Mus musculus: one gene and its partners. The protein of the gene in region 1 purifies or fractionates together with the protein of each later gene. This does not show direct contact. Links are inferred from orthologs where the notes say so. Each region holds a gene or a part of one and is shown in the gene's direction. Other genes may lie near its edges. The genes, in order: Psme1, Psmb6 and Psmb9.

Region 1 (3,732 bases):
CCTTGCAGAAAGTTTGCCTGGCTCCTGTTTAAACCATTGTATTATCCTGACTCAAAAACAAAACAAATGACAACAACAAAAATGGCTGGTATCAGAGTCACAGGTGCCAGTGGCCGTACTGAGCGGGGAAAGTACTTTCTGAAAAATGGTGGCGGAACATTTGAAGAATGATGGCAGAACATTCTCTCAGAAAAATTGACATCCAAGCTGAGAACTGGGTGAGGACATTAAGGGGAAGAGTGTTGCAGATTTCTCAAGGGCAGAGTCCTTGGAGCTGAATAAACACTGCCTACAAGTATTTGCTTGTGTAATGAATGAGTGTGGAAAGCAATGGACTTGAAGAGGATTGTGAAAGAAAAGTCTTTATGGATTTTATCATAGAGGCCTGAGTCCCTGCTGTGGGGGAGTGGTTTATTGGGGAATAGAGGGTGCCACAATGGCTTTGTGCAGAGCTGATTGACTCTTGTATAAGGATGGTGCCAGCATCTCCGCATAATCGTCTGGTGGGCGGGAGTATATTAGGCAGGGGACCACGCTGGGAAGACGAAGAGAGACCAGATCATACTCCAGATCATTAAGGATTTTAAACCCCCATGTAAGGCTTATTTATTGCCCTGGCCCTAGCAGAAGCAGGGGGTGCCGGGAAATGGCAGGCGAGGATGGGAAGGGGCAGGGGTGCTGGCGTTGGTTGGGAGGCGGGCCTGGCTGCCAAACGGAGAGACCCGAGCGCCGGGCGGAAACGCTACTCCGGCTGCTGGCGGAGCCCCCGCCTCTCAGTAGGCTGTCCCCGCCTCCTCCAGTCCCTCCACTCCCCAAACCCAGGAAGGCCGTGCAGGTTTCGAGCTGTGCTTTCGCTTTCCCTTCCCGCTGCCCACCCCAGGTTCCTCGTGCGGCGCTCACCACCACCCCCCGGCTCTGGCCATGGCCACACTGAGGGTCCATCCCGAAGCCCAAGCCAAGGTGAGCGTTGCGGGTTCGAGTGGGGAGTAGAGGCTTTAGAGAGGCGTGGTTCAGAGCAGACCAGAGCTCTGGGGGAGCCCACTTCCTAGCCCCCCTCACCTGAGTGGGGGTTGGGGGGGTTCTGCTCCCTAGCTACTGCCAGAAGCACCTGATCCCTTGGGAGTAGGTGAGGCGGCTGTGGTCCAGTGGGGTGAAATGGAGCCTAGAAGCTAGTGTGAAGTCTGCTGGCTTGGGGCCAGGGCTACACACAGAGACCTTGAGAGGGACTTGCCCTAGCCACCTCAGACTTTCCCTCGGAAAGGGCACGCACCTGCACTCTCTCTGCCCACTGTCTTAGGGTTCTGTTTGGTTTGAGACAGGGTCCCTCTATTATGTAGCTCTGGCTTTCCTGAAACTGGATATGTAGACCAGGCTGGCCTTGAACTCAGAGTTCCACCTGTCTGTACCTCTGGAGTGCTAGGATTAAAGGCCTGTGGTACCACGCCTGGCCACAGGGCTCTCTTATCGCCTCTTGCACAACTCTGGTGACCCAGAAATAAATAAATATATATATACATACACACACACACATACATATATATTTTTTGATTGTTTTGTTTTTCGAGACAGGGTTTCTCTGTGTAGCCCTGGCTGTCCTAGAACTCACTTTGTAGACCAGGCTGGCCTTGAACTCAGAAATCCACCTGCCTCTGCCTCCTGAGTGCTGGGATTAAAGGCGTGTGCCATCACACCCAGCTTGCCCAGAAATATTCTTATCCCCAAATTCAGCCTCCCTTGGGGATCCATTGAACTCTTCCCTGATTCAGGTGTGCTGAAAACTACCATACCACCCCAGGCCACCCTATATAGGGACCCATCTGACTTTCTTCAGATGTGGCTTCTCTATTCCCCAAGTCAGCCCCTACACCTAAAGGGAACTGTCCTCAAAAGAACTAGCCTTAAAGCTAGGTTTCTGAAGGGTTGCCTATCTATACCCTACAGGTGGATGTGTTCCGTGAAGACCTGTGTAGCAAGGTAAGACCTAACTCATCAGGGACCCCACCCCCACCCAGCTCCCCCAACTCTGGCCTCCCTCGCTGGGCAGTGTGAGCCCTTACATCACTGCCTTGGAAAGGGTGTTTGCTTCTGACCCTGTCCTCCTCCACTGTCTTACCCAGACAGAGAACCTGCTTGGGAGCTATTTTCCCAAGAAAATCTCAGAGTTGGATGCGTTCTTAAAGGTACTCGGGGGCTCCCCAGGCAAGGACTCAAGAGGAGCCCAGGGATGGGGGTGGGGTGAGATGAGAGGAACACCCTCATCTCCAGCCGTACCACTAGGAGCCAGCTCTCAATGAAGCCAACCTGAGCAATCTGAAGGCTCCATTGGACATCCCAGTACCCGATCCAGTCAAAGAGAAAGAGAAGGAGGAGCGGAAGAAGCAACAGGAGGCAAGCTGGGAGACCTGGGAGGTGGGCCAGCCATAGAGAGCATCAGCCTCAGTCCTGTCTTCCTCCCTACAGAAGGAAGAGAAGGAAGAGAAGAAGAAAGGGGACGAAGACGACAAAGGTACGGGGAAGCGAGGTGCTGGGAAGACACTGGTGACCCAGAGCTTCCAGGCTGCGGTTCTGCTTTCCCCTTTCCAAACTTCGCACGCCCAGTCATTCCCTGACCCACTGCGCGCTCTCTAGGTCCCCCCTGTGGCCCAGTCATTCCCTGACCCACTGCGCGCTCTCCAGGTCCCCCCTGTGGCCCAGTGAACTGCAATGAGAAGATTGTGGTCCTCCTGCAACGCCTAAAACCTGAGATCAAGGATGTCACTGAGCAACTCAATCTGGTGAGCTCTTCCGCCTTCGTCTCGGCTCCAGGCAGTGTCCTCAATGGTCCGGGCCAGGGCTCAATGTGGGCAGACGAGGGAAGACTGGGAACCTGGGAGTCGGGGTATGTATATGGAGGGGAAGGAAGGATGTGGTGATAAAGCCAAGACGCGTTCTTTGCTCCAAGGTCACTACCTGGTTGCAGCTACAGATACCTCGGATAGAGGATGGGAATAATTTTGGCGTGGCTGTCCAGGTAAGAGCACTGTCCCCTCAATCTACAGCCCTACTGTGCAACCAGCCTGAGCTTCCCCAGCTCTCCACTTTCTTCCTCAGGAAAAGGTGTTTGAGCTGATGACCAACCTTCACACCAAGCTGGAAGGCTTCCACACGCAGATCTCCAAGTGAGTGGCCTCATCACAACACCCTCAGCGCACTCTGCTTTGGGGACAGGCCCGGGGCGCCCGCCTTCTCTTTCCACTCTCTACATACTACTTCCACTTTCCACAGGTACTTCTCCGAGAGGGGTGACGCCGTGGCCAAAGCAGCCAAGCAGCCCCACGTGGTAGGTGAGGCCCAGGTCAGGCTGCTCCCGGGGAAGACAGATTTCAAGTCAGGGCTAACTGTTGAGTTTCTAACTGCAGGGTGACTATCGGCAGCTGGTGCACGAGCTGGACGAGGCGGAGTACCAGGAGATCCGTCTGATGGTCATGGAGATCCGAAATGCTTATGTGAGGAAGGGGGAGGAGGGCGGGGGTGGACAGAAGCACCTTCCCCAGACCATCAAATTTCTGACCAAGCAGTCTTGGGGTGGAGGATGACAACAGCTAAAAATGGGATACAGAACTACCGGGGGGCCCGTGGCTGACCTCCACCACTCTGTGCTCCGATAGGCTGTGTTATATGACATCATCCTGAAGAACTTTGAGAAGCTCAAGAAGCCCCGTGGAGAAACCAAGGGAATGATCTATTGAGCCC
Region 2 (3,744 bases), on another chromosome or scaffold:
GTACTGAGGCATATAAAGTTTGCACGACCAATGGGCCTCTCTTTCCACTGATGGCCGACTAGGCTATCTTCTGATTCATATGCAGCTAGAGACACGAGCTCCAGGGGGGGTATTGGTTAGTTCATATTGTTGTTCTACCTATAGGATTGCAGATCCCTTCAGCTCCTTGAGTACCTTCCCTAGCTCCTCCATTGGGGGCCCTGTGATCCATCCAATAGCTGACTGTGAGCATCCACTTCTGTGTTTGCCAGGCCCCGGCATAGTTTCACAAGAGACAGCCATATCTGGGTCCTTTTAGCAAAATCTTGCTAGTGTATGCAATGGTGTCAGCGTTTGGAAGCGGATTATGGGATGGATCCCCGGATATGGCAGTTTCTAGATGGTCCATCTTTTCGTCTCAGCTCGAATGGCACGATTTAAAATGTATTAAAAATATAATACATAGGTGAGAATGTGTAACGGTGGAAACCCTCAGATATGGCAGGGGTGATTGTCAAGGGGTATAGATGCTCCCAAAAAACAATTGTAGCTTCTTCAAAAGTTCTTGTGGGACCCGGGAAGTAGGTACCCCGGACTATTGAAAACACGACCTGACCATTCCAGTTTGTACTCTTATCTTGTGGGTTCTTTGAACTAGGACACCAATCAGGTTATAGTGTATCCAACCTGTTAACATTGCGACACAACGTTGTTATTTACAAAACCCACATACTTCAGACTATACAATCAAGTTACCAAAACAAACAAACGACCCCCCCCACACACACACACACACACCTAAAACCTTATAATGTAAATTAGGCTTCATTTCCAAGTATCCTTTGCCTCCGGGAGCCACAAGCCTCTGGTGAGGCAAATCTTTGAGAAGAGGCTCCGCCCTTTTCCCCCCTTCCTAGACCCGCCTCTTTTTTTTTTTTTTTTTGGTAATTTGACACACTGCCGTAAAGTGCCCACTGACTCTAACGACGAGTTCCTACCTCTGTCTTTTCCCTTCTGCCGTCAAGCAGCTTCGCTCCCAGAAGGCCACAGAGGCGGACTAAAGAGAGTGACGGAGCGCTTTACGACGGTTGCTTTGTGGCAGAGTAGCAGAGGAAGATGGCGGCCGCCTTAGCTGTTCGTCGAGCGGGGTCTGCACCGGCCTTTGGGCCGGAGGCTCTCACCCCAGACTGGGAAAACCGGGAAGTCTCCACAGGGGTGAGGAAAGAGCCAGAGTTCGGAAGACATGTACTAGGCCTGACGGGAGGAAAAACATGAAGCCCGAGTGGGTTTGACTGAGTGGGTTGGGGGGGGGGGAGCGCTGTGTTCTGCGAGAGGGAGAGGGATTCCTTGAATGCTGGCGTGGGGTGATACCTTTCGTGATGAGAGGTGAACAGTAGGCTGAAGCATAAGAGTCTGAATCCTGGGGTTTGGAGATTGTAGTTTTTATATTCTCTGACGTGTTGAGCCCCCTTAAGATTTGATAATAGGTTCGCGGAGCACGAATTTTGCATTATAAAATCCGGGTGAAGAATTATTGAGGTCGGTATATACTCGAGAATGCGGTAAGGCTAAAAGAGTTACCTTTTTTACACTATTCTTCCCAGACCACGATCATGGCTGTGCAGTTTAATGGGGGCGTGGTTCTAGGAGCGGACTCCAGGACAACCACTGGGTGAGCTCAAAACAGAAAGTCTTCCCGTTTCCCCTACTCCAAACATATACCATTCCTGCCTGTCAGCCCATCCTTACCCTCCTCAGACCACTGTGGCAAGAGAAGTTTCTCCACTACCTGGAGATAATAAGGACTTGTTCCTAATTCTGTGGTTTCCAGGCCCCCTCACCCTTTGGTGAACTACCAGTAAAGGTCTGTTCTCCATTCATCCGGCTTCATTTTCCATGAGGACTAGTAGGTGGTAGCAGTATTTGTATCCCTGGAGCTGCAGGGAGTAGACGGTGATGTGGTGGAGGAGGGAGGCAAGTGGGCTCCTTCTCACTGTTTCCGCCATCCTGCAGGTCCTACATCGCCAATCGAGTGACTGACAAGCTGACCCCTATCCACGATCACATCTTCTGCTGCCGCTCAGGCTCAGCCGCTGATACCCAAGCAGTGGCAGACGCTGTCACTTACCAGCTTGGTTTCCACAGGTACTTGTGGGCAGGGGAGGAACAACGACCCTGAAGGCTCTGGAACATAAGGCACTAAAAGGCCTGACTCCAGATCCTGATATTGCTTTGTTTGTGATCTTCCAACCCCACCTTCTAGTATTGAACTGAACGAGCCTCCACTAGTCCACACAGCCGCCAGTCTCTTTAAGGAGATGTGTTACCGGTACAGAGAAGATCTGATGGCAGGAATCATCATTGCAGGCTGGGACCCTCAAGAAGGAGGGCAGGTCAGGCCCTCCTCACCAGAGTACTGGAGTCACACCTCTGATGCTCCACCCCTTCGGCCATTTTGTTTGTCTGTCTGTCTGTCCGTCCTGTATGCATGTATCCTTATGGGTACATGTGTGTGGAGGCCAGAGGTGTGCCAGGGTTGTCTTCCTCATGAGACAGTCTCACTGAAGATAGAGCTCACTTTTAGCTAGGCTGCCTATCCAATGAGCTCTAGCAATTATACACCCTGCACCCTACTCCCAGAGCTGGGGTTACAGATACACATGCCCAGCTTTTACATAAGTGCTGGGGATTTGAAATCAGGTCTTCATACTTGCCTTAGCAGGCCCTTTACCACCCAAGCCATCCCTAGTCCCCACTCCAAACACCTTTTTTTTTTTAAGTTTCTCTTTCTGTCTCTACCTCACCATTAACTTTCCCGAGACCAAAATCAAAAGGGATGGGTGAATGTGTTGGGAAAGGGTGCAACTGGTGGCTTTTCTCCCCCCTCCCATCTGGCAGGTGTACTCTGTTCCCATGGGGGGTATGATGGTAAGACAGTCCTTTGCCATCGGAGGCTCCGGGAGCTCGTACATCTATGGCTATGTTGATGCTACGTATCGGGAAGGCATGACCAAGGACGAATGTCTGCAGTTCACTGCCAATGGTGAGACTCTGTGCTTCCACGCCTGTGAACTTCAGCCCTCGTTCCCAAGCTGTGCCAAGGGTCCTCACGTTCAGCTACTAACTCCAAACCCACTGTCCTCGTTTTATCTACAGCTCTCGCTTTGGCCATGGAACGCGACGGCTCCAGTGGAGGGGTGATCCGCTTGGCAGCCATTCAGGAGTCAGGGGTAGAGCGGCAGGTGCTTTTGGGAGACCAAATCCCCAAGTTCACCATTGCCACGTTGCCACCTCCCTGAGGCCTGGTGTTCTAGGGAGTAGTAAAGGATGGTCCATACCGACGCAGAAGCTAATAAACAGTTTGTTAAAGAGACGTTTCTGTGTGAAGGTTCTTGACTTCAACTTCAACTTGCCAAAACCATTGTCTTGCGTAAACTATTGCACTGAGCTCGGTAGGAATTAGAGAGGTAAGGAAGGTTTATCAGTGCGCTGTTCTTTTATCATTACTAGCATTATTGGATTATTTTGGGGATGGCTGGTTGCATTATGTTTTTAAATAAAATGGTTTGTTTTATGTGCATTGTTGTTCTGCCTGCATGTATGTGTGAGGGTGCCAGATTATTGAAATTTGAGTTACAGACAGTTGTGAGTTGCCCTGTGGGTGCTGGGAATTGAAACCAGGCCTTTGAAAGAGCAGCCAGTGCTCTTAACCACTGAGCCATCTCTCCAGCCCCTTGTTCTTGTTTTTTTTTTTTTTTTTGAGAT
Region 3 (3,744 bases), on another chromosome or scaffold:
AGGGGAGGGGAGGGGAGGGGAGGGGAGGGGAGGGGAGGGGAGGGGAGGGGAGGGGAGGGCAGGGGAGGGGAGAGGAGAGGAGAGGAGAGGAGAGGAGAGGAGAGGAGAGGAGAGGAGAGGAGAGGAGAGGAGAGGAGAGGAGAGGAGAGAGAAGAGGAGAGGAGAAGATGGCGGTGTGGAAAGAAACCTTCACATTTGGGCTATGATGTGAAGTTCTGCTCCCAGAAGACCCTGTCCCCAACGCCCTTGTCTGGACCCCTTCTCGGGCCTGGGTCCTTCTCTTTCCGCCTAAGTTGCCTCCTTAGTGTCTCTGACGCTTCCCGGGACTACTTTACTCTCCCTTTCTGCCTGGAATGCCCATTGCCCTGTCCCCTGTGGCCTGCTCTTTCACCCAGTCTCCCTTACCAAGGCAAGAGAGAATCAAGAGAACCAGAACCAGGTAGAGACGTCTCTTCTTAGGGCCCAGGAAGCCCAGCATCCGACACAGCATGTCTCCAGCGTCCCTGTTGCCGCTGGGCGCCCAGAGGCTCCCCAACTTGTGCCACAGGGCGGCTGCGGGCAATGCTGCCACATAACTGATAGCGAAGGCATCTGGACGACTGTTCCAGTACAGTAATCCAGCGCTGTCACCCTCCCGGAGTGTTCCCCAGGCGGCCAGCTCTCGGAACAAGGCAAGTCCAGGCAGGGCCAAACTCAGTGCGGCCACCAGCGGCTGCAAAGCAGCCAGCCAGCCATGGGCTCCTGCGGTGACCCCGAGGACCCCGCGGACCCCTAGTCCTAGGATGGCCCAGCGACTCAGGCCCACCACCCAGACCCGGAGCAGCGGCACCTCGGGAACCAACAGGGAGAAGATTCCCGGGAGCATGGGCCGCAGCAGCAGCCAGTCCACCAGAAGGAGCAGGGCGGCCGCCAGCCAGACGTGCGCAGCCATCGAGCGTGAGCTGTCCAGAGTCTGGTCCTAGCCTGGGACTCTCGACGTCCGCGCTGCACAGGAGTCTCCGTGGGGAAGGAAGAAGGGCGGGTCCGAGGGCGTGCGCGTAAAGTCCCGGGAACCCGCTCGAGCTGGTGGAGCTGACTAGAAGTGCTGGCGTTTAGAGGAAGAAGAAACCGAAAGCCGACCTCGAATCACTAGACACGCCTCCTTCTGAGACTGGCTTGCTCAGGCTGTTCTGGAAGCTGCCGCTGAAGCTGTAGTTGGAGTTCTGCCTAGCAGCCCTGGCCTGTCGTGTTCTTCTCCATGAATCTCATTCTCCTCTTCTTCCCCAGCCCCCTTAACTTGCTTGCGTGAATTTTCCCATCCCAGGCCCCACCCCAGATTGAGGGCAGGACCCTCTGTCGTCACCTGTCTCTGGGCAGATTTGCCCTGCTCAGGTTTGCTCTGGGCGCCAAATGCTGGTAGAACGGCACGCCCCTTGCGCGATGATGGGGCGGGGCCTCAGTCTGCAAGTTGCCTGCACCGCGCGCAGCCGCTGATTGGAAAGCCGAGCCCCGCTCTGCTGAGATGCTGCGGGCAGGAGCACCTACCGCCGGCTCGTTCCGGACGGAAGAAGTCCACACCGGGGTAATGGGTCTCGGGGTGAGAGTCAGCGGGTGGAGTGATCAGGGACCCCTAAAGCTCTGGAAGTAAACCAAGAGACTTAGGAAGCTTGTAGCGCCCAGCGCTTGCGCTCCACAGTGAACGTAGGGTATCCCTGCTCAGAAGTGTGGTGTCCAGGGGTCTGTGGAGGGATCCGCATGCGAAGCTGGTGAGAAGGTGCGTTCTTTGGCTTGAGCTGGAAGCGTCTAAGGGAAGTTGCTCCAAAGCGCTTTCGCTTTCACTCTAGACTGCGCAGTTGGGGTTACTGGCTAAATCAAGTGAGGGGCTTGGGGACCCCTGCAAAAGAGGTGCTGAGGTGTCCTGGATGAAGCACCTGAGAGAAGGTAATATGGAGGCTCACTGAAAAGGACCTACCTACACATCATACAGATCTTTGCTTAACCTAGCCCCAGACAGCCCCCACCCTGAGTGAGGACAAGCTCTCTGGCGCCAGGATTGAGGGGGAGATGGGGATGATCGGTGGTCCTCCTTGTTCCAGGTGCTGCCCTGCAGCACACTCCACCCCACCCTGTCCCAACACCGTCATTCCCATGCTTGCCTGAGAACTTTGCCCAGACCTAGGAGCTGGGAAGATGGCAGCTGGTTTCTGCTCTCTAAAAGCCACCAACCACAGTGTTAACATGGTGTGGAGGAACAAAGTGGACATTTCTGGCCTTTTACTTGTGCTCAGAAAGCACACTCGCGGGCAGGGTCCCCGGAGATCAGAACGACATGGAGTGGACAGAAAGGTTGGAAAAAGTCTCCCTCGCTGCCACGGAGCTGTGGGACTTAGAAATCAAATCAATCAAGGGTTCAGAGTGAGACCTGAGTCAACTTGGGAAGCTCATTCGTCTCCATAAGTCAGTTTTCTCAGTGCACCCAAGGGTCTCCTAAGGTGCCTTTTAACCTAGAAGGTGTGGGGGAAGTAGATGTGTCTACCCTCCTTCACTTATCCGTAATTCTTTCCTTGACCTGGAAAAACTCTGCTATCCAGAAGTCCTTTCCCCTGGCTGCAGAGACTTCGCTTAAGTGAAATTTGTGCCCTACCTGAAGGATCCTTGCTGCTTCTGTGTCTCGACTCCTGGCCATGTTAACCCCCGGCCTCTCTGTGTCCCTTGTTCAGTAACACTAAGGCTCCCCTTCTGATAAAGTAAGGTTGCAGGTGGGGGATCCAGGACCAGGAAAGACCTGGTCTTGTGTCACAGTAATTCACAGTAATGATGCATGTGGTACGCAATTCACAAGCAGCGGGGCCGGTTTCCTGGGCCTTCCTCTCAGTTCTTGCTCTCCTCATGCAGATTGTGTCTGCCTCCAGGAACCATCCTTGCTTTTCAGGGTGACCTTGAGTCGGTCACCTCCTGCATGGACATTTTCTCCTCCTTAAGATGGAGGCTCAAGACGCTCCTAGCTCTGACTTTTCGTACTGTCTCTCTGCAGACAACCATCATGGCAGTGGAGTTTGACGGGGGTGTCGTGGTGGGCTCTGATTCCCGGGTGTCAGCGGGGTGAGTAGTGTCAAAGGCCCGTGTGTTGGAGGGAAGCTGGTGGCCCTAAGTGCACATTTTTCTTGCCCACTTCTGAGGAGTATGATAACCTTCCAAGAAATGAAGCTGATCTTTCCAAAAAAGTATCATAATGCATTGATGGAGAGGCGTCTGGGCCTCTGAATCCATGGCATTCATGAATATTTTGTAGCTTGATGGACATAAAGAAATAGTATCTCGGAGGGACACGGGTAGGTTGTAGATGGACTGTGTTATCTGCAGTTAGGATAAAAGATAAATGGTGGTTTTCTGAAGCAGTTATCTCACTCATTTGCCTGAGTTTGAAGTAAGTTTGATTGGTCTCCCGTCCTGGCTAGTTTGCTCACACACAAGTCAGACTGGGATGACATCCATGCTGTTTCTGCCATGTTCCATAGAACCACCGTTGCCCCTCAAAGTGATGAACTGCAAGGAAATTCTGGAAAGAGGCAATTTTTTTCTCTTGTTTCACTTTTTGTTTTTAGAGACAGGGTTTCTCTGTGTAGCCCTGGCTGTCCTGGAACTCACTTTGTAGACCAGGCTGGCCTCGAACTCAGAAATCCGCCTGCCTCTGCCTCCCAAGTGCTGGGATTAAAAGCGTGAGCCACCACTGCCTGCCATAGAAGCACACTTTTCTTGCCTAGG

Evidence for each region.
Region 2: the proteins of Psme1 (region 1) and Psmb6 purify together in Homo sapiens (affinity purification with western blotting; 3 studies listed by BioGRID and IntAct, with this or other methods). This does not show direct contact. The link is inferred for Mus musculus from reciprocal best matches to the Homo sapiens genes PSME1 and PSMB6.
Region 3: the proteins of Psme1 (region 1) and Psmb9 purify together in Homo sapiens (affinity purification with mass spectrometry; 3 studies listed by BioGRID and IntAct, counting the BioPlex papers as one, with this or other methods). This does not show direct contact. The link is inferred for Mus musculus from reciprocal best matches to the Homo sapiens genes PSME1 and PSMB9.

The regions. Positions count from the first base shown.
Region 1 is NC_000080.6:55,577,654-55,581,385, forward strand, and holds the start of Psme1 (proteasome activator complex subunit 1), read left to right. Parts: upstream 1-840; 5' UTR 841-921; coding exon 922-960; intron 961-1,941; coding exon 1,942-1,974; intron 1,975-2,117; coding exon 2,118-2,180; intron 2,181-2,277; coding exon 2,278-2,388; intron 2,389-2,460; coding exon 2,461-2,506; intron 2,507-2,676; coding exon 2,677-2,774; intron 2,775-2,941; coding exon 2,942-3,010; intron 3,011-3,090; coding exon 3,091-3,158; intron 3,159-3,264; coding exon 3,265-3,319; intron 3,320-3,398; coding exon 3,399-3,485; intron 3,486-3,647; coding exon 3,648-3,728; 3' UTR 3,729-3,732. UniProt on the Homo sapiens protein: Implicated in immunoproteasome assembly and required for efficient antigen processing. The PA28 activator complex enhances the generation of class I binding peptides by altering the cleavage pattern of the proteasome.
Region 2 is NC_000077.6:70,524,302-70,528,045, forward strand, and holds Psmb6 (proteasome subunit beta type-6), read left to right. Parts: upstream 1-1,055; 5' UTR 1,056-1,095; coding exon 1,096-1,194; intron 1,195-1,583; coding exon 1,584-1,651; intron 1,652-1,992; coding exon 1,993-2,124; intron 2,125-2,242; coding exon 2,243-2,372; intron 2,373-2,877; coding exon 2,878-3,022; intron 3,023-3,115; coding exon of another isoform or gene 3,116-3,135; coding exon 3,136-3,278; 3' UTR 3,279-3,557; downstream 3,558-3,744. UniProt on the Homo sapiens protein: Component of the 20S core proteasome complex involved in the proteolytic degradation of most intracellular proteins. This complex plays numerous essential roles within the cell by associating with different regulatory particles.
Region 3 is NC_000083.6:34,185,067-34,188,810, reverse strand, and holds the start of Psmb9 (proteasome subunit beta type-9), read left to right. Parts: upstream 1-1,480; 5' UTR 1,481-1,501; coding exon 1,502-1,561; exon of another isoform or gene 1,562-1,753; intron 1,754-3,013; coding exon 3,014-3,081; intron 3,082-3,744. Other genes in the region: Tap1 (antigen peptide transporter 1), read right to left, coding at 406-931. UniProt on the Homo sapiens protein: The proteasome is a multicatalytic proteinase complex which is characterized by its ability to cleave peptides with Arg, Phe, Tyr, Leu, and Glu adjacent to the leaving group at neutral or slightly basic pH.